Linked DNA regions of Lepisosteus oculatus. The protein of the gene in region 2 binds, or shares a complex with, the protein of the main gene of each other region. Links are inferred from orthologs where the notes say so. Each region holds a gene or a part of one and is shown on either strand. Other genes may lie near its edges.

Region 1 (10,686 bases), on a different chromosome or scaffold from region 2:
GCGTGACGACAGGCAGGGAGGGGCCACTGGGGGCCACATGGGAGGAGGCAGCAGCCAGAGCCGCCTGACTGCAATTCAACACGAAGACGACAAGCGTCAGGGGGAGACAGACGACGCCAGCAAAGGATTTAAATTTGACCACCTAGCAGCTATTCATGTACGTCCCCATACACAGTCTCTGGAGGAGCTACGTTCCCGGACGATTCTGAAGTACACAAAGCCAGTTCATTCCTCAGTTTTTACAGTCCGCCTTCCACTTTGGAATCTTATTCAGCCATCCGAAGGAAATGCATCTCAGAAAGCACGAGCATTATGGAGAATGAAACAAATCCATTCCGTATAAAACAACAAGAACACTCCACCCACAAAAGTATCTCAACAGCAATAGCTCAGGGCACAAAGCCCCGCCAGGCAGAGCTGTACTTACTATTGCATGTAGTACTGCCTGACATACATCTGCTGCAGCCAGAGGAGCTGCTGAGGGCTGTACACCGAGTACGCAGGACGACGCACATCCGCTCCCCCCAGCCTGGAGAAAAGACAGACAGCAACCTCAGCTGGACAGCACTACCTGGCACAACCACCCAGCTCCTTTCACACACCACTGCAGACAGCACAGGACATCTGGGCACACGGGGCAGCGGTACAGCGACGCACACAGGCCTGAGCTCAACAAGGGAGGAATTCATTCACGGCTGGTACGAAAGCACAATTGATTCTGTGGCATCAGGGAGCAATTTTACACTTCTTGCTCACATCAGGAGGAAAGCAACGGCCTTGACCCTCAGCCATGCTTTAAGTCACGAATAAGGCCTAAAGTTGATTATGTGGACCGAACAGCAGACAGTTTCCTTCAGGATCCCACATGCGCTGTGGTGGACCCTTGCTGAGGGGACGCACTCACATCGCAGGGCTTGTCCAGGCAGAAGGCACGCCTCCAGCACTCCCTCTGTGCCGTAATCCGTCTCCGCTGGGCCCAGGAGGAGCTGCGCCCGCGGCCTGGCCAGCCGCACGGGGCACAGACTGCACACACGCCTCGGCTCCCGCAGCCTAGACCACAGACAGAGCGACGACGCTCGTTAGCACAACAAGAGCTCGCGGCAAGAACAACAAAAAAAAGATGTGAAACTCGAGCATTCTGAAATTAGAACAGGTCGTTTCAAAAAGAATGTAAAATATCCGCCCGCAGCCTTGGGAACAGGCTGCAAGGGCTGCACCTGGTTGCTGGGGAGATGATGCAGAACAGGGCTAAACCTCCCCAGTTTCAATACGTGAAACCTGACACTTCACTTGTGCACTCCCTGCTGAAGAGTCCAGGGTTTACTTTCGAACTGTATCAGCAAAATCAACAGAACTGATCAAATCAAGCACAAGGCTATGATTATGACATTTTATCATGCAAACATCACTGTCCTAATTCTCTTTCGTGCTGCAACAGTAGAGGTTTTAAAGCGCTGTTCTTTCTGGAACCCTGTAAAAGTGAATACATCTCTTTTAATCCAACAGAAACAGTGTTCTCGACTTCCAGATAATTTTGCCGACAAATACTACTTGTAAACTTCATATTACAGGAGTCATTACAGTGACTAGTGAGCAGGAAGGGCCCATGGCGATTATCCAGTACTTCCACAAAGTTCTCGATTTTGTGCTTAATTGAGAATTTGTAAATTTTTCCAATACCATCAATTATTTTTTTGTTTGTTACCGAGACGTAATAATTGGTCTGAGAAACTGGGAATGCAGTTTCTTTTTAATAGCAACGGAAGGGCTAGTCCAGAAGAATCTGTTTCAGTTCTGCATTTTGTGAACAGTGCTCTTCAGACATTGTGCCCCTGTTCAACACTACTTAAGCGCCCATGAAGCACGGAGCCACAGAAAGCAGCAGAGCAGCCTCGATCTCCACTCCTGAGGGCTGCTGACTGGTACAAGTCTCCAACTACAGCATGACTTGCATACCTTAGGCTGGGATCCGTGTTGTGAGCCCGGAGGCTTGAAGGCACAGACTAAGTGAAGGGTTGGTGTGGTGTCTGACTGTAAAGAGAAGAAATCAGAGTTTAGTTCTGCTCGGAGAGGAATACTGGAGCACAAACAGCTCAGGCGCAAGATGAAGTGGATCAGAAAACTGTATGAGCACCAGACACTGATCTCCAGTCACCTGAGCCCAGTGTATAACACACAACAAATGGAGGTTTGAGGTACTTTCCACAATCTGTTAAATCCCTTCTCTGCTGCTACAACTGATTTGCTGTGCGTCACCCAGCTGGTGGATGAACTGGGCCCCACTCTGCATGTAAAGTATTATACAGATACTAGGAGGGGTTTAAGAACAAGATGTTGTAATTCAATTAGATAGCAGGTTTAAGATGATACAGTTGGTGGGGTGTGCTAAGAAGCAACAGGAAACAGCACTGATAACATCACGTTCATGTTTACCTTCCGGAAGACGTCTCTCAAGAGCAGGTGGTCTGGCAGCAGTTTCCCGGAGTAGATGAGCCGCTGGTCTTTCTCAGGCTGCGGGGCGAGAATCAGGTGAAACAGAGAACTGAGAAACAGCAACAGAGCGGACAGGAAGGACAAGACACCTGCAGGAGTCACAGCGCGGGGAAACACCTGTCGAGGTCTTCCTGCTCTTATTCCTGATTTACACCGATACCGAAGAGGCGCACCGGGTGCTTGTTGATGTTCAAGACAGGTAAACCCACTTCCGGAAAAAAACGTACAGAATATCGCTCTTATTCAACGCTCAGGGTTCGCTCATTGCACAGCTAGGAGCGCACGCAGAAGACTTAAACCGTGCCCTACCAGGGCAAACTGAGCCACTGAACCCGGGTAAGACTCCGCTAACTGCGACCCGACCACACCGGGGAGAAAGAGACAGGCAGCGCTTCAAGTGCTCCGAACAACTTCAATACCGTATAATAAAACTCACGGCTATAGGACGGGAAAGGAGTCGAAAACTCGCGGTAGGGCTCTAGGATCATGTCGTATTAAGCAGTGTTTCCTATCATGTGGCGCTTCCGGGCAGTGACGCCGGCAGAGCAGAGTCCGGACAAACACGAAAGCAGGCTGGACACTCACCGGGCTGCCCGGGTACACTCCTGACAGGTGCGACTTCAGCTGCCCGACCGTCCAGCTGGGCTGCACTCCCTCCACGGCCCGGTCTCCGTGGGCTTGGTTCGGCGTCTTGACGATCAGGGTCAGGGTCTCCGGTGGCGGAGACGGTCCGTCCATCCCTGTCCTCGGTCTTCGGCGTGCGAGAGAAGGACGTTACCCCGAATACACTCCGTAAAGGACGAGCCTCGCAACCGTCAGCGGACAAAACAATAGAACTTTCTTTCCTATCTCCCTCCCCCCACCTCGGAGTTAGCTGTCAAACAGTGAAGCGCAGTGCCGCTCAGCTCTGACTGGAGGTGTGCGGGCTGTTCCGGCAGGTTTATCTCCGGGGGGAGGAATCTTCAAAACACAGTGTGGCCGCCTCTGATTGGCCGGCCGGGGCTCGTGCACTGACGTGGGCCTCTCGCGGGCAGCGCCGCCGGCTGCGCAGACTCCACTAGGGGAGCGCCGAGCTGATGCAACAGGGCGCCCGGCGTGCAGCTGGCAGGCAGAGCCCGGTTCTCGGAGCGCTCCTGCGGGGTCCGGCGGCAGGCCGTCCGCAGTCTGCCTCACCTTGACACCGGTGTTGCTGCTGAAAGCTCGTCTTTTCGAAAGAACGTTTGAGGAAACGTGAAGGGTTGTGTTTAAGTAAAACAAACGCAATGAAACTGTTTGTTCATGTAGAACAAACGCGCACGTCTAAGTTGCTGTTTCTTCTCCGTCCCTGGTTTGGCGTCTTTTTCACTGAACTGTCTAATGCTGCTCCCTCCTTTAATGTTTATAAGGTGGAAACGCAATATTACTTAAACTTCACCAAAAACGCACCAGATGTAGGTAAAAATGTATCTTATTTTGTTCAGATTTGTTATTATCTCTGGCAGCGTTTTATTCTGTTTTTTTTTGTTCACTTTATCTTATTGGATACCCTTTCTCCTTTGTATTATGTAATGTTCAATAAAACTGTAAAGAAATCATATAGATTCAGGGTCAGGGGTCAGAGCAGAACGAATTAGTTCATAGTAAAAGTGCATTTTGGGAAGACGGTGTTCACCGGCAACGAGAGCAGGGGAAAGTTTTTATCCCCTGCTCAACAAATCTCAAACAATGAACCACACATTGAAAAAACTTTATTATTAATAAAAACATAAATAAATTTGTTCAGAACAGTATAATAATGGTGATTACACTGCATGGAGTGATTTTGTTAGAGACTCAGTTGTACAAGCGTTAATGGGAGTTTAAAACAGTAAAACAGTACCCTAAGCACACAGATAGGTGTGTGCTTAATGGGCTTAGTTAATGCTAAAGGAAATACGTTTTAAACAATTAAAATACAAAAGCATGAAAACACATATGACATGACTAGAAATAATAAAGTTCCAAAAATTCTAAAAGTGTAAAAATCCAGGTGTAACTGAGTTAAGTTACTTCCCACAAGTCTGGAACAACTCCTCCACATCCCCAGCTCCTAAAATGTTTTAAAGATAAGTTGCTAGTAAGGCATTATGGCTTTATCAGGCATTGGGAGAGTGCAGAAGTGGATCAGCAGGTCCCTGCAAGAGCTGTGTAAATACTCCTAGCAAAAGATGGAGTGAGGCTGTGTCTACATTACTGGCAGGAGAGTGTCTGTGGGGCTGTGTCTACACTACTGGCAGTAGAGTGTGTCTGTGAGGCTGTGTCTACACTACTGGCAGGAGAGTGTCTGTGGGGCTGTGTCTACACTACTGGCAGTAGAGTGTGTCTGTGAGGCTGTGTCTACACTACTGGCAGTAGAGTGTTTCTGTGAGGCTGTGTCTACACTACTGGCAGTAGAGTGTTTCTGTGAGGCTGTGTCTGCACTACTGGCAGTAGAGTGTGTCTGTGAGGCTGTGTCTGCACTACTGGCAGTAGAGTGTGTCTGTGGGGCTGTGTCTACACTACTGGCAGTAGAGTGTTTCTGTGAGGCTGTGTCTACACTACTGGCAGTAGAGTGTTTCTGTGAGGCTGTGTCTGCACTACTGGCAGTAGAGTGTGTCTGTGAGGCTGTGTCTGCACTACTGGCAGTAGAGTGTGTCTGTGGGGCTGTGTCTACACTACTGGCAGTAGAGTGTGTCTGTGGGGCTGTCTGCACTACTGGCAGTAGAGTGTGTCTGTGGGGCTGTGTCTACACTACTGGCAGTAGAGTGTGTCTGTGGGGCTGTGTCTGCACTACTGGCAGTAGAGTGTGTCTGTGAGGCTGTGTCTACACTACTGGCAGGAGAGTGTCTGTGAGGCTGTGTCTGCACTACTGGCAGGAGAGTGTCTGTGAGGCTGTGTCTGCACTACTGGCAGCAGAGTGTCTGTGAGGCTGTGTCTGCACTACTGGATGTAGAGTGTCTGTGTGGCTATGTCTGCACTACTGGCAGTAGAAGGTGAGCACATTTTCCTGGTTGCCCCTGACAAGGAGCACAGGGGGTCGGAGGTCCTGGGAAAGGGTTTCCAGCCAGGCCATGTAGAGAGCGCTGGGGCATTTCCCCCTCCTGCCCACTGGCATAGTCCTGTCAGAGAGACAACAGTGGGCAATCATGACAAGGGTTAGCACTGAGACACAACACTGCACCGACACTGCACACCACACTGAGACACAACATCTGCACTGACCCTGAACACCACACTGAGACACAACACTGCACTGACACTGCACACCATACTGAGACACAACACTGCACTGACACTGCACACCACACTGAGACACAACACTGCACTGACACTGCACACCACACTGAGACACAACACCTGCGCTGACATTGCACACCATGCTGTGACACAATACTGCACTGACCCTGCACACCACACTGAGACACAACACCTGCGCTGACATTGCACACCACGCTGAGACACAACACTGCACTGACCCTGCACACCACACTGAGACACAACACCTGCACTGACATTACACACCACACCGAGACACAACACTGCACTAACATGCACACCATACTGAGATACAACACTGTACTGACACTGCACACCACACTGAGACACAACACTGCACTGACACTGCACACCACACTGAGACACAACACTGCACTGACACTGCACACCACACTGAGACACAACACTGCACTGACACTGCACACCACACTGAGACACAACACCTGTACTGACATTGCACACCATGCTGAGACACAACACCTGCACTGACATTGCACACCATGCTGAGATACAACACTGCACTGACACTGCACACCACACTGAGACACAACACCTGCACTGACACTGCACACCACACTGAGACACAACACCTGCACTGACACTGGACACCTTACTGAGACACAACAGTGCACTAACACTGCACACCATACTGAAACACATCTACACTAACACTGCACATCATAGTGACACACAACACTACACTAATTTTGCAAATTCTGTTCTGTCCTCCTTATCCTGTTTCTCTTCCTCTGACCCTCTAGAGGACAAAATACAGTTACTTGACAATGCTCTTTTATCTACCCTCGACACCTTTGCTCCTTTAAAAACTCGAACCATCTCCTTCTCTCGCCCTGCCCCCTGGTACAATGACCATCTGCGTTTCATGAAGGCAGCCTCTCGCAAACTTGAGCGTAGGTGGCGTCTTTCCGGCCTAAATGTACATTATCAGGCCTGGAGAGATTACTTATCTGATTATAAGGTTACTATAGAGTCTGCTAGATCCACCTACTTCTCTCACATCATTGAAAATCACCAAAACAATCCCAGACATCTTTTCTCCACCATCAACAGACTACTCAAGCCAAACTGCCCCACCACATTACCTGCCTCATCACAACTTTGCAACACATTCTTAGATTTCTTTAGTTCTAAGATTGACAACATCCGGCATCACATTCTCTCCACTACGGATATAATTTCCACACCTCCTCCCTCCTCATCCAACCTCTCTGGTTCCCGTCTCTCCAGCTTCTCTCTTCTTGACTCAGCATCCCTAAACAAACTAGTTACGCGCATGAAACCCACCACATCTATTTTAGATCCCATTCCCACCACTTTATTCCAGTCCTGTTTCTCTTCTCTCTGTCCCATTGTCCTCAATATAATACATGAATCCTTGAGCACCGGCATTGTACCAACGGTCCTCAAAACTGCTGCTATTACCCCAGTGCCAAAGAAGCCTAACATGGCTCTCGACAATCTTAACAACTTTCGCCCCATCTCCAACTTACCCTTTCTCTCTAAAATTCTAGAACGTGCTGTCACACTTCAGTTACATAACCACCTCATGACAAACAACCTTTTCGAACCCCTCCAATCTGGCTTCCGTCAACTTCACAGCACAGAAACCGCCCTAGTCAAAGTCACCAACGATCTCCTAATAGCTTCTGATTCTGGTTCTTTCCATACTCATCCTTCTTGATCTCAGTGCTGCCTTTGACACTGTTGACCATAACATCTTGCTTTCTCGTCTCGAGACTGTGTTTGGAGTCTCTGACACTGCCCTCAAATGGTTTAAGTCTTACCTCACTGATCGCTGTCACTTTGTCTCTCTCAATGGGTACAGGTCTGAAATTGGTCTTGTCAAGTCTGGTGTCCCTCAGGGCTCAATACTGGGCCCCTTGCTCTTCAGCATTTACTTGTTCCCACTTGGTCAGCTTTTAAGATCACATGGCCTCAGCTTTCATTTTTACGCTGACGATACTCAAATATACATCCATACCAAACCCGACACTGATGTGGCTGTCTCTATTCTATCTAATTGCATCTCTGACATAAAAATTTGGATGACTCAAAACTTCCTTCATCTTAACTGTGACAAGACTGAAGTCATGCTTATTGGTACCCCCCATCAACTTCGTAAAGCCAGTCCTGTAACCCTGTCTGTAGATGGCTCTGTACTTGAGCTCCAATCAAAATTGAAAAACCTTGGGGTTATATTCGATTCTGGCTTAACATTCGACCCACATGTACAGCATACTGTCAAAACATCTTTTTTTCACCTTAGAAATATCGCAAGACTACGCCCTATGCTATCATTAACTGTGGCTGAAAAGCTGATCAACATATTTGTATTCTCTCGAATTGACTACTGCAATGCTCTGCTCCCTGGGGTATCTAAATCTACTCTGAACAAGCTGCAGTATGTCCAAAATTCAGCAGCCAGAATCCTGACCAGATCTAGTGCAAGTGTTCACATTACTCCTATCCTGGAGTCCTTGCACTGGCTTCCGGTCAAATTCCGCGTAGACTTTAAAATCCTCATGCTCACCTACAAGGCTTTACATGGCTTGGCACCTCAATACCTGTCTGAACTTTTATCGCCCTACTCCCCACCTCGCAACCTCCGCTCTTCAAATTCTGCCCTCCTTACTGTCCCCCAAGCCCGTTTACATTGTATGGGCGACAGGGCCTTCTCCTGCTATGCCCCCAAGCTCTGGAACTCCTTGCCCAAGGATATTAGAGAGTCACCTTCTCTAAACTCCTTCAAATCCAGACTCAAAACCCTCCTTTTCAGAAAAGCCTTTACTTAACTGGTTCCATTCTTCACCCCTCTGCTCTTCTTAATACCATCTTCCACGGTCTCCTCTATTGTTATTGTTGTATTGTTGTAATTATAATTGTGTCCTGTCTTGTGAAATTTTCTTATTTATTGTTGTAGTCTTCTTATTTATTGTTATTGTCATCATGTAAAGCGCTTTGAGAAGCCACCTTTAAAGGCGCTATATAAAATAAAGTTTATTATTATTATTACTAACACTGACAGATTCTCAAGGCTAGGATCAAACTCAGGACATTGGATCTGCAAGACACTGCCTAACTAACTTACACAATTATATGACCTGAAACAAATGCCTAGATATCTGTAACTGTAAGAAATAATATGCACATAAAAGCAAATAAGCTGGTGTCTTATAAAGAGGAGTGGCTGCCACTCCAACCATACAGTGCCTGCAGGGCTGTGTAGGAGAGCAGCGGGGTCAAACAGTTTTCACTGAGCAGTACAGGAAAAACGCCACAGAAATCACCAGACTGATCACCCACTGGAACTAATGGGCACTTGCTGCAGACACAAGCAGAACCAGACAGAAAGCGCTGAGGGAAGACTAGGGCAGTGAGGGTTTTCGTGCTCATTGAACTACACTTCCAGTATTGTTGAGCCTAACCGTTTCTGAAACTAAAATGCAAATGATTACCGTGCACGCAAGATCAGCTCTGGGGGTAATTATCTGAAATTCAAGCCCTGAAATGGAATCTGGGTGATGTTCTCTGAACAGTATGTACAGTCCAGTAGCCATTAGGGTGTGTGCTTAGCAAATCAAGGAGAGTGGCTAATTCCCTGGCTCATTCCACTGGGGGCTCAGCATTTCCACTCACAGGATGATGAGCGCCGCGTCTCGGGAGTAATCCAGCAGGATTTCATTCAGATGGATCTGTCGGAGGGACTGCCGGAAAAAAGAAAGCATATTTTTAAAATATGATTAATTTGAAAATCCTCAAAAAACAGTGTTTCATTCTTGCATTTTCTCTTACAGAATTGTGTTTTTTCCTTATTTAAAGCACAAAGTGCTCTGGTTTGCCATAGCCTGAGCACAATCTCTCGCTGTCAGGAAGCGAAGTGCTCTTAAACCACAGATTGGTTTCATTCTGCCCAAGTCATCCGCCAATAACAGAAGATGAAGAATTCAGACTTGAAAGAGTCTCACCTTGGCCTTGTTCCTCTCTATCTCTTCATCCGAAATCTTCCAGGGGAATTCCTTCTTCATTTCATTGACTGTGTTTTCGTCCCTGAATCCATCGTTCAGCCGGTAGGGGCCGAGCAGATCCTCAAACCTCTTCACACTGCACCAAACCCACAGGAGACAAGAGGGTTCAGATGGGCACCAGCTCAGAGCAGACTAGGGCCTCTGCAGAGGGACCCGACACTCGTTTCAGTGGACTCAAGTCTGCACTCATCCAATTACAGATATCAAGGACAGCTGACATGCAACTGGGATACAGTGTAAAATGCAGATATCCCACGTTATCTCACCCATCACCCATCACCCACCAGGGTGCAACACGGTCTAAGTACACTCTTCTCCTGTAGGGCCTGTTGCAATGGAATAACAGAGTGTGCTGCGTCTCTGCAGAGCTGTTGTAAAACCCAGGCAACTGTCTTTGAGAGCCATGCATCACAGTTTTGCATGGAATCCAAAGGAGTTGCTTAGTTTTATTTATTTATATGATGCACTGTACAGAAGCTGAGAGAAAATAACCTCTTAATTTGAAATCAAAGCCAGTGGTGATCAAGCAGGTGAGATGGAGCAGCAGGGGAGTGCCCCAGTGCCCCAGTGCCACCTTGCCCTGTGTGCTGTTTGAAGAGCGAGGGAAAGGACCCAGAGACACAGTACAAGAGAGAAGTGTGACCCTACTGCTCGGGCCGCGGCTTCTCGTTGACGTCAGGCAGCACCTGGACGTCGTGGAATCCCAGACGAAACTTGCTGAGCAGGGACATGAACCTGGAGATCACAACGGGAAAAAAAAGTCTGTTTCAGTGCTGCTGAGCCCTGGGCTGACGTCTGTGGACCATGTTGAGCTGAGTGAGCCGGGACAGCGAGCTATTTGCATTTCTGAGTGATTTCAGAAATTAAAAATGAT
Region 2 (10,186 bases):
GCAGGAGACCAACAGTTTTCCACTAGAATGGATACAGTGCTAACTCAGTGCTCATGAGAGTTGAAAGATCACCGTAGCACTCTTTCCAAACTCTTGCAAGATCCAGGATTAGCTTTTTACCCTATTCAGTCAACTCGTTAAAAAAAAGGATTCAATAAAAGGACACTCTTTTGCTCTGGTATACAATGGATGGAAACTAGTATCATCTGGGCTAGAATAGTTTCACCTCATAGAAGCACACCAACACCCTGTAGATCAGCGCAACGACCATCATTTTCTGCAGTTCTTCCATCGAGGTGTCCTCATCAATCTCTTCAACAATAAAATGCATGGCAAACTTGGAAATGTCCCTACAGAAGGAAACAAAAATACCACAGGAAATAATGGCTTAAAACAGGACTTATCGACTGGAATATGAACATGAATTAGCCCCAACGCCATCCCATTTTGACCATGTGATGACTTTATGTACATTTCTGCAGTATGATGCTTGGTTTTGGATGATTTAATGTACATACATCAACTGTCAACCTTTATCCTCATTTGTGATTTAGGCAACATTTGGTCTCTGAAACAGATATTCAGCCCTCTAACCTCAACGGGCTCTAAGTACTCCTAATTAACTCCCTCTTCTAGTTTAATAATTATAGTACTTTTAACATACACATCTTGTGGTGTTCAGAACTTTGCAATATTAACAACCCCTAAACTGGAAAACATGTCGGCTTATATACAATAAGAAAAAGAGATGCCCGCAATACCCTAACTGCACATATAACCCAATCAGCTGTGATCGGGTTTGTTTTTCTCTCTTTTCTTCTCTACGTGAAACAGAATCATGCAGAACTACTGAGAGCACAGTCGTGCAAACCTAATCACCAGCACAGAATTCTTTATGAAGGCAGGAAGACTTTATATAAGAAATACCAACATCTGCTGGAGGCAGAGTGCTGGGAACCAATGTTCGAATATAAATCCTACCCATGCTGTAAACAAATCTGAAGTGGTTTGGTTAAAAGGCACAAATGTATATTTATAAGAAGTCATTACAAAAGTCACAACAAAAAGTAACTCAGTCTTAGTCTTACATTTACTGGATTAACTGCTAGGAATAAACCTGAAGAGCTTTTAAACAGATAAACTGCCAGATGATACTGTACTGGTGATGCAGTAACCAGATTAAATTGTTTTATTCTTAAACTAGAGTCCATGTTTCATAGGAATGACTAACAAGTTTCAGTGGTACATTGTTGGTACACTCTTACATATATGCTTATAAATGTGTACTCCAGGAAACAATGATAATGTATACCCTCTGTCTGCTTTGCTTGATGATCCTGTTTTTAATTTAGAAAGTCTTTTACCAAATATCTCTGGCAGGGTTGAAAGTTACTTCCTGCCTCTATATCTAGCCAATAGTTGAAACAGTTCCTTATTCTCTTTAATGCATTTTCCAGTATATTAGAATTAATTTTTACCATGTATATTAGAAAACTCTTGCACACAGTGTACATCTAAAATATTTTCCTAGACTTGCTTAAACAAAGAGATTCCATATTTCTATTCCTTCAATTTTATTGCTAAATGAAGGAAGTTAATTCGATTTATATTCTGTTAATTTAAGAGGGTTGTAGCCATTCAACCTGCTTATCCAAATGACTTTTTCCATAAGCCGGGACCAGATCTAAGTCAACAACAGTCCTTGTTTATTCACCTACAGGACACACTATATATCATGCACAATAAAGAAACATTATTCATGCATTAAGGCTTTCAGAACATTTGAACTGTTCACTGACTCACTTCATGCCACTGAAGTGCATGATGCTGAGCACGATAGTTGCCTTTATGAAGAAAAGGATGAAGAAGTCGACCATTTCTGCTATGAACCTGTGCAGAGGAGATGGAATGGTATACTCTCGTCCTGCAACAAACAAAAAGTGTCAAAGACATCTCACATCACTGACTGCTAAAATGCATTCAAGTCTTATCCCAACTGTGTTACTACAGCACATCTACTGGTCTACAGTTCCTACAGGAAATACACAGAGAAGATGAGGACCAAGATTGCGTTTTGAGGCAGATGGTTATAATGCTCAGAAATATATTTTAAAAACTCACTTTCACGGTCCTTTCTTAACATAACATGTAACACATAAAATAAATTAAATAAGTAAAATGACCCCCCAAAAAAACAATTGTAAACACCCTGCATTGCTTCACAGGGTTTTCACATTAAGAACAATTAAGTCCATCATCTTTTATAGGGGAAGAACCTGTGATCGGTACGTCGTGATGCAATGTGCGCTTTTATAAAATACCAGCACGATTCTTTCTACAAACTCTGCCATTAATACTGCAAAAAAAACACCCAAAATTTTTAGACAAAAACCACAACGCCTCATTTTTCCACCAGCTCAGATTAGTTAGTAAATAGCAATAGACACTCACTTATTTCCTAGCATGCTGGGGAACAAAGACGGAGTTTTGAACAGGATCACATCTGGATTCCTTAGCCTAAAATACACTTTTTTGTTTTTCTTTACTATTCTTTCAGTTATATCTGCCCTCAAGCCTTCGGTCTAGAATTCTCCAGACTGGATGCTGGGTAGCCATCAAAGTACTGGGACCAAGCCCACTTCGGGAAACCAGTTTTCCTCTTTAGATATTCAGGATTATGCATTTCAAATGCTGGACAGTAAAGTGTCTAACGATTCCCTACTTCATATTATAGTCCCTTCAGACCTTCTGCCAAATATAACATTACATTGTACACAGTACTCTGAGACTGCTTTAGTGATACTGATATTTCTAAGGGTGGCTCAAACCCCCTGTATCACAGAACTGGGTGGTCTCTCGGAGAGACCTCACCCCAAACCTGCCTGCTGGGTTCTGGGAAGATGGAGATACTCCCCGCATTTTGAGTTACTTGGGATGGTAATAAGAAGGCTAACGTTTTATATACATCATAGCGTCACAAGAAGATTTCTTCTACGTAACTGCTTTACACATCCAGAGAGGGCTGAGTTTGTCGTTATTACTTCCCAAAGATTATTTTTTTTTAGATCTGCAGGGACATGTCCTACTTTACAGCTTTCCCAGGCAACGTTTCAGGTACAAGTGTGAGCTTTAGTAAAACCTTAACACCGCTTTCACTCACCCACTGGTGAGTTATTCATCGACGCCTTGCCCAAGTTACACAATATGACAAGACGCCATAACGGAAACGAGGAGCTCCTTCCCAGTGATGCATGCCCTCTGACTTTGAAAGACCACAACTGCGGGCGTCCAGTAGGTAAACCTAACCCTTGTGTTCTGGGATGACAGCCTAAGGATCTTGCAGAGTTACAGATACAGCTGGATCTATTGGCAGGTACGTCCCGCACTGGAACATAACCTACAGTGTTAGACTGGCCAAACAGACAAATGCAAAGCGTGTTTATCCTCCTGTGTAACTCGTGGTTACTCCGTCTCTCCCGGTACTGACGCTCTGAAGGGGATCTTTTCTTACCCGGCTGTGGTGCATTTCCATTTTGCTGCAGTACCGGCCTGTCCCCCGCGGTCAACTGCCCGGCCTGCGCCCCGGCTGCAGCGTGACCCGCAGGGGTGACGGGGAAATACGGAGGCGCGGCGAGAGGGAAATGACTGCTGTACCAACTCCGTACATCGGCCGGGGAAGGCCCCCCTCCTCCTCCCCAGGGGGGCGCTGAGCCGTTCGGGTTAGCGGGCGGCGAGAGGGAGCACGGCGGGAAGGCGTACGCCGACATCGCCGCCCAGCTCTGCCAGTTCATACACCCCCAGTAGTACTGCCACATCCACTCCTGCACCTTGCCGCAGTACTCCGCGGCCGTCTGCCGCCCGCCCGGCGCCGGCCTCTCTTCCGACCCCTGGGGATCCCCCAGCCTTCCCGCAGCGTTCATGTCTGCGCCCGTCCTGCGCCTCGCCTGAGAGTTTTTAGCCGCGGGGTCTTCGTCCGCTCTCTCGCCTAACCTCTCCTCCGCGTCGGCCATGATGAGAACTGGTGTAGCGAACACTTGAAGTGGCAGAGAAGTCCGGGGGGAGCCTGAGCAGTGTAAACACACAGGAGAGGCGTTCAGTCGGTCATATATAATTGATCGTATCAGTATTTAAATAGAAAAACTATACTACTTGGAAATATTTGTATTCCGAGCAATACATGCACAATTATCCAAATACAGAAACATCCAAACGTGGATGTTTATAGAGGGCGCCCTCTTTTTTTCACAAAATGTTGGTATAGTCCCCGATCTGGTGACGTACTTCCGCAGGAAATGCGTCGATACAGTACTGGTAGAATGGCTGTCGAGCTGTTGCTGAGAATTTCACATGATGGATAAAGGGTGATGGTGATGGTGATGGTGATGATGGACATCAGGGTGTGCAGACTGACCCCAAGCGAGATTCTGTTCACTTGAGCAAGGTGCTTCACTCACAACCGGTTAGATGGCAGAGTTGTATAGATGGTTACTCTCCCAGTAGTCATTGACTCAATTTAAAGAAGGGGTAAAATGAAACAACTGTATATACAATGTACAGAACAATAAAAGGCACAGGAAATACAGCTTGATGAATTACCAGCAAACGATCAGCAGTGTATAAGTATCTGATCTGAGGAAGAAGAATGAACAGGCTTGGTATAAGAGGGGCCTGATAATAATTAGCTGATGGAGCAGAAGAGAGTTGATAGGGAGGGGTGAGAGCAGGCAGTTGAGGCGAGAGGCAGGTCAAGGAGAAAGCCATTGGAGGGTGTGAGTTGTTTGCAGTGATTTGTATGTGGTCTGGGGTCCCCAATCAAATATGGAGGTTTTGAGTGATGCCCAATCGTGTTAACTGCCATACCTGTTTCTGTGCAGACATTTCCCGGAGGCACTGCCTGCAAAACTGCAGCGAGGTCGCTAATGGAGTTTATCGCAAAGGTTTGGGAGGGGTGACAACAGCCAAGTTCAATCAGACTTAGCAGTCAGTTACTAGTAATCCCTCCTGACATCCCTTTCCTCACCAAAAACACAAATAACTGAACTTGAACTGAACTGAACTTGAACTTTATTGCCATATGTAACCGGTACAGGTACAATGGAATTCTTACTGACAGAAAGTCTCTCGATTGTAAAACAAGTGTAAAAAACAAAACAAAGTGCAAACAGTGCATCCAGATGTACAAACAAACAGTAGACAATGTACAAGTAAACATGTAGACAGTTTGAATGTAAACAATACAGACGTGTAAACAATGACTGGAGATGTGCAATAGATAAGAAATCATAAAGAGGTAGATGGTGATGGTGTAGGTGTGGCTAAATGTGTTCGTCAATCTCACTGCTTGTGGATAAAAGCTATTGAAGAATCTAGTGGTAAGTGTCTGTATGCTCTTATATCTCTTGCCTGAGGGCAGTGGGGTGAAGAGCTCATGCCCGGGGTGGTGACTGTCCTCTGTGATGGCCAGAATTCTACCACGGCAGCGGTCCTCATAGAGCTGTTTAATCTTGGTGAGACCGCAGCCGATGATCTTCTGGGCCATATTGACCATTCTCTGCAGTGCCTTTCTTTCTCGCGAAGAGGTGTTGCCATACCACACGGTGATCCCGTTGGTGAGGACGCTCTCGATGGTGCAGCGGTAGAAGTTCACCAGCACATGTATTGGCATCCCCCATCGCTTGAGGCACCTCAAGAAATAAAGGCGCTGCTGAGCCTTCTTCATGATAGAGTCAGTGTTCACAGTCCAGGTGAGATCTTTAGAGATGTGAATTCCCAAAAACCTAAAGCTGGTGACTGTTTCCACTTCCGTTCCATCAATACTGAGTGGGCTGTGAGTGTGTGGCCTGTGTCTCCGAAGGTTCACTATTAGCTCTTTCGTTTTCTTCACGTTCAAGTCCAGGTTATGGACTTAAGGTTATACTATATCTTATCTAATTCTGTCCATTACAAATGTCTTTTTGCATCCAAAAAGATATACTGTATGTAAGGGACAGAAGAGAACCTCCAGTCTGTCACCACCTCAGCAGCACCTCCTTGGTCATTCTGCATGGGTGACCCAGTCTCCTTGTCCTATGGGCAGGTAGTAACCCTCAGCAAAGCAGATTAAGCCAACTCTTCACTAAAACGTTCCATAATCCTTTCATTACACTTAATTCTTGTTGATCCTAGTGAACACATAGTTAACTAAATATGGGTCAATCTTGGGTGTCATTTGTGAATTTGGAGAACCACCAAAGTGTAGTATAGAGGAGTGGATTGAATCCAAAGAGCCGTCTATTTCAATGTGCCATAACATGTTCCTTTTATTTATTAAACTGAGCCATGACATCAATGTAGAGTGATGGAAATCGAGAAACACCCTTGTCTTCTCTGTGTGTACTTCCCACCTTTGCACAAATGCCCTCAGGCAAAGCAAACCTCTTCTTCTTTTACAATGCGTTGAAATATTTCTGCCGTTTCGTACTCGTGAGAAAATAAAGATGTACAAAAAGTGGATGAGGGGAATACTATTTTCTACAGCCGCGTACTAAGCTCTCAGAATATCACACCTACACATGTGACCGGGTTCGCATTGCGTTGTTAGCATAACATAACATACAGTATGTACTGTATCTTCCTGTTGTGCAAGCTTGCCCTGTGCTGTATATAAAGTCAGCCGCTTGGAGGCACTGTCGACTAACTAAAACACTAAGTCCCCTGCAGCTCGGATGCATCAGTATGGAAAAAAACTAAAGCGAAGCTCTTCCCTTATAAATATGTTGTGTGTGGTTCACTACAATAAGTAGGCGGTAAAGCCCAATTAAAGCATAGAGATAGACACAATGGTATTCATGGTGAAAAGTACTGCACATACAACATTTTTTATGTTTAACACTTATAGAGGTTATTTGATTTAGTTCTGTAATGCTCACCCATACGTATTTAATTCTTGGGCACATTACTGTATGTGTACTAGCATTCCTCTCATAACAAATGCTGCTCTTTTGCACACGAGCGCCTGTAGGGGTCATGCCGGGGTATGATACTGTAGAGAGCTTGCATCACGTAACCTATGCAATGGAAGTTTAACCAAAACAGATGTTGTGTGATTTAGAGTTATATCAATCTTTACAGTGAATACTACCTGTTTTTAGTCAAGTGAGTATTTTTGTCTTTTAGGGGCTCTGGAAATAATATAGTCCACTGACATCGTATAAGTGCGGTTTTGATGGAGGTACCATCATTTAAAACATACCCACGTACACACATCGTTATAATCTTTTATATTTATAAATGGCATTTTAATGTCACTCTCCCCACCGATTCCTTACAAAAGAGACGCGGTAAATTTAACGCGTTACCGTGAAAACCCAACGCAACTAATATGCATTAGCTGAACACTAAAATTCTCGTTAGGATTGTTTCATCAAAGGAGATTTACTGTAGGCAATGACGAACAGATTTCCTACCAAACCATGGTTTAGCCTGCAGTTGTAGGCGATTCGTCTAACCTAAAGTGTTCCCACGTTTTTTGTCATTGATAATTTTCTTGAGAAACACAGTGATGCAGCCAGTGATTACATGGTATATGCAAATTATATCTATCGCAGGAATCTCAGATTGTTCTCGGGTGGAAGCTGTCAGTTGGTGACAGTTGCGAAAAAGCGGTGATCTACTGTATTATTTCTCCCCAGACACACTTGCTGACGGGGCCACATTATCAATGAGATCGGGTCTGAACCAGGCTGATGACTGTGCAGGCCTGTGAATGGAGGAGTCCATGCGGAACATCATCAGCCCACGGGAGAATGATCCTGTCTGACAAGCCGCAGAACGACAGGCCAGAAACAAATCGGGGAATAAAAACTGCTGGAAGCAAACGCTGAGTTTAACGGAACCACTACCGTGCGGGGATTATCGTTCCGAAGAGTAGGACGTCCGTCGGAGTTTGCCAACCTTAGCGACGCATCTCAAGCGCTGCCCTGCTAATAATGGTCTTGGACTTGGGACAGATCTGGCCAAACCAGCAGACAGCTGTCTTTTTATGCAGAGATAATTACTACTGTAGCTTAGAAAGTGTTGCGTCTTTCAGACACCGTTAGCTGTAATTCGATTGTTTTTCAAATAATGTAGCCTAACACACAAAGTTAATAAAAAATACTCTAAAACGCTCCCATCCAGCTGTTTAACTAATATGAAAACAATCTTTTTACCTGTCTATGTTTCTGTAGATAACTCTATCCTGAAATGTATTGTGCAAAACGAGCAAGGAGGAGAAACAACATTTAGCCCTTAGTGGTACTTATCAATTTTGTTAGACACAGGTGCTGAAGTCTGATGCTTATGTTTAGAAAAGGATTGTGCTGTAATTCCTAAATATTGGTGTTGAGACTTGCGCCTCCAGAGGGCAGATCAGACACAGACTGCGCAGTGCTGCCTGTTCGCTTTTTCATATCTTTCCTTACCACAGAAGCATCATTCATTCAGGGCTACTGAGGAATCTTTTGTTTGACTTGAACGGAATGAGAGCATCTGATTTTCCCCTCTGAAACACCATTGTGGAACAGGACCATTAGTTTTGGCCGAACAGTGCAATTACTTCAATGAAAGTTCTTTTTTTTTTCAAACCCAGAGATGAAACGAGGAAAAAACAGATATTTTAAAAACATACGTGAGGTTACAAACGAGAAGAAGTCATTTGACGCATTTCACCTGTTTGATAGTTACTAGCTCATTGAAGCAGCGATCCCATCCAGCCGTTTCTTGAAAGAAGCCAGAGTATTGGTTTGAACCACACGGCTGCTGTTTGGATTTTGAGATCGAGGAATAAATACATGCAAAGTGTATCGTAACAAAAATTACGGACGGAGAGATGTTTTTCCCCCGGTGATTGTGGATGTCTGAATGCCCCACAAACTCAAACATTATTCAGGCTAACGCCCTGGAAACCTTCAATAAATGATTTAATTAACCCACTCAGCACTGAAGTAGCAATATGAACAAAACAGCTAACCCTGTAGCTGACAGTGACCATTCTTCAGCGTACAGTCACAGGCAGAATTTTACAGTGTATAGGATTTGAATACCATAGTCCCATGGTGTGATAGAGAAAAAGGATTAGAAGTCACAGTGGGTAGAAATGAAGTCAGTGTCAAATTGAGTCCAGTCACAGAACTTCAGAGATGGCAACATTAGTCTCTGTAAAACATCCAGAAAAGCTGTACTGCCCAAGATTGTGGTAGGTCTCTGAGGACGCGTTTGGAGATATCTGCAAATTAAATTATCTAATTCTCATCTGGGACCAACTCCTGTGCTCGAACTGTAGGAAATCCTCTGGCACCATTTGTGTGATATTTAGTTTAATAAAGGTATACAGGGACATAGAGGCTGAGGCTACACTCTCTGTTCAGTCTGATGGTCTCTCCTTTCTTCCGAAAAGGCATTCTAAATCTAAAGATCAAAATATTCTTTAAAATTCTCACATTTCAGAGAAACGTGCATGGAAAAATGTCAAATTTTAAACTGAACAGTACCTCACCTGTCCTCATATCGTTACTGCGCTGAAGATATTCTATAGCCGAAACTTTTTTTTTCAAGTTAATTTCTACTCGGTCCTTCAGATACCAACTCTATAATTGTCTCCGCTTTTATGCATTTAAAAAGGCATCACACGAGCAAGAAACAATTAACACCTGCTGTGGTTTCTCTTCAGAATCAGGAGTTACAGAATAACAAATCTGATATTATCTCACACTGCTCCGGATGCGATTGTGTTTTCCACCACTATATAAGTTGGCCTCTCTGAAAAGTCCGTTCCAATTTCATTTGAAGCCTAATTCACTTCGGAAGGTTTGATTACGGCATCCTTTTCTGTTGTACAATAAGACTCGACTGAACACTTTAAAACACATCAAAAACACAACTGTGAAAATCTCTTCGAGACCCATACTTAATGAATTTGACAATTAAACAGAAATTATTAATAGACCTAAAAAACAGAGTTGATTGTTGCTGGCATTGGAGGTCGTGGGTTGTTGTTGTGGATGTCTGTGTGCGCTCCGAAATAACTCGTCAAGGTCAGTGACGTAAAGTTGTTGAGTTAAAGTGATTTCTGTGCAATACTGTAGATCAGTCAGTAGCGAGTTTCTTCATGACCGTTACCCTAGTTACTGTAAGTCTTGCTGCTTAAAGATCTGATCCAGAAGCTTTT

Evidence for each region. Proteins that work in one complex are often made in the same cells at the same time.
Region 1: fam8a1a (region 2) and herpud1 share a complex: the UniProt entries of both Homo sapiens proteins name them as parts of the HRD1 complex. The link is inferred for Lepisosteus oculatus from reciprocal best matches to the Homo sapiens genes FAM8A1 and HERPUD1.

What each region holds. Positions count from the first base shown.
Region 1 is NC_090715.1:1,191,097-1,201,782, reverse strand, and holds the start of herpud1 (homocysteine-responsive endoplasmic reticulum-resident ubiquitin-like domain member 1 protein), read right to left. Parts: upstream 3,934-10,686; 5' UTR 3,232-3,933; coding exon 3,079-3,231; intron 2,512-3,078; coding exon 2,434-2,511; intron 2,032-2,433; coding exon 1,957-2,031; intron 1,051-1,956; coding exon 905-1,050; intron 530-904; coding exon 428-529; intron 69-427; coding exon 1-68. Other genes in the region: slc12a3 (solute carrier family 12 member 3), read right to left, coding at 5,468-5,609, 9,424-9,491, 9,753-9,888, 10,461-10,547. UniProt on the Homo sapiens protein: Component of the endoplasmic reticulum quality control (ERQC) system also called ER-associated degradation (ERAD) involved in ubiquitin-dependent degradation of misfolded endoplasmic reticulum proteins.
Region 2 is NC_090705.1:39,581,893-39,592,078, forward strand, and holds the start of fam8a1a (protein FAM8A1), read right to left. Parts: upstream 4,077-10,186; 5' UTR 4,011-4,076; coding exon 3,512-4,010; intron 3,374-3,511; exon of another isoform or gene 3,081-3,373; intron 1,925-3,080; coding exon 1,804-1,924; intron 351-1,803; coding exon 227-350; intron 1-226. UniProt on the Homo sapiens protein: Plays a role in the assembly of the HRD1 complex, a complex involved in the ubiquitin-proteasome-dependent process of ER-associated degradation (ERAD).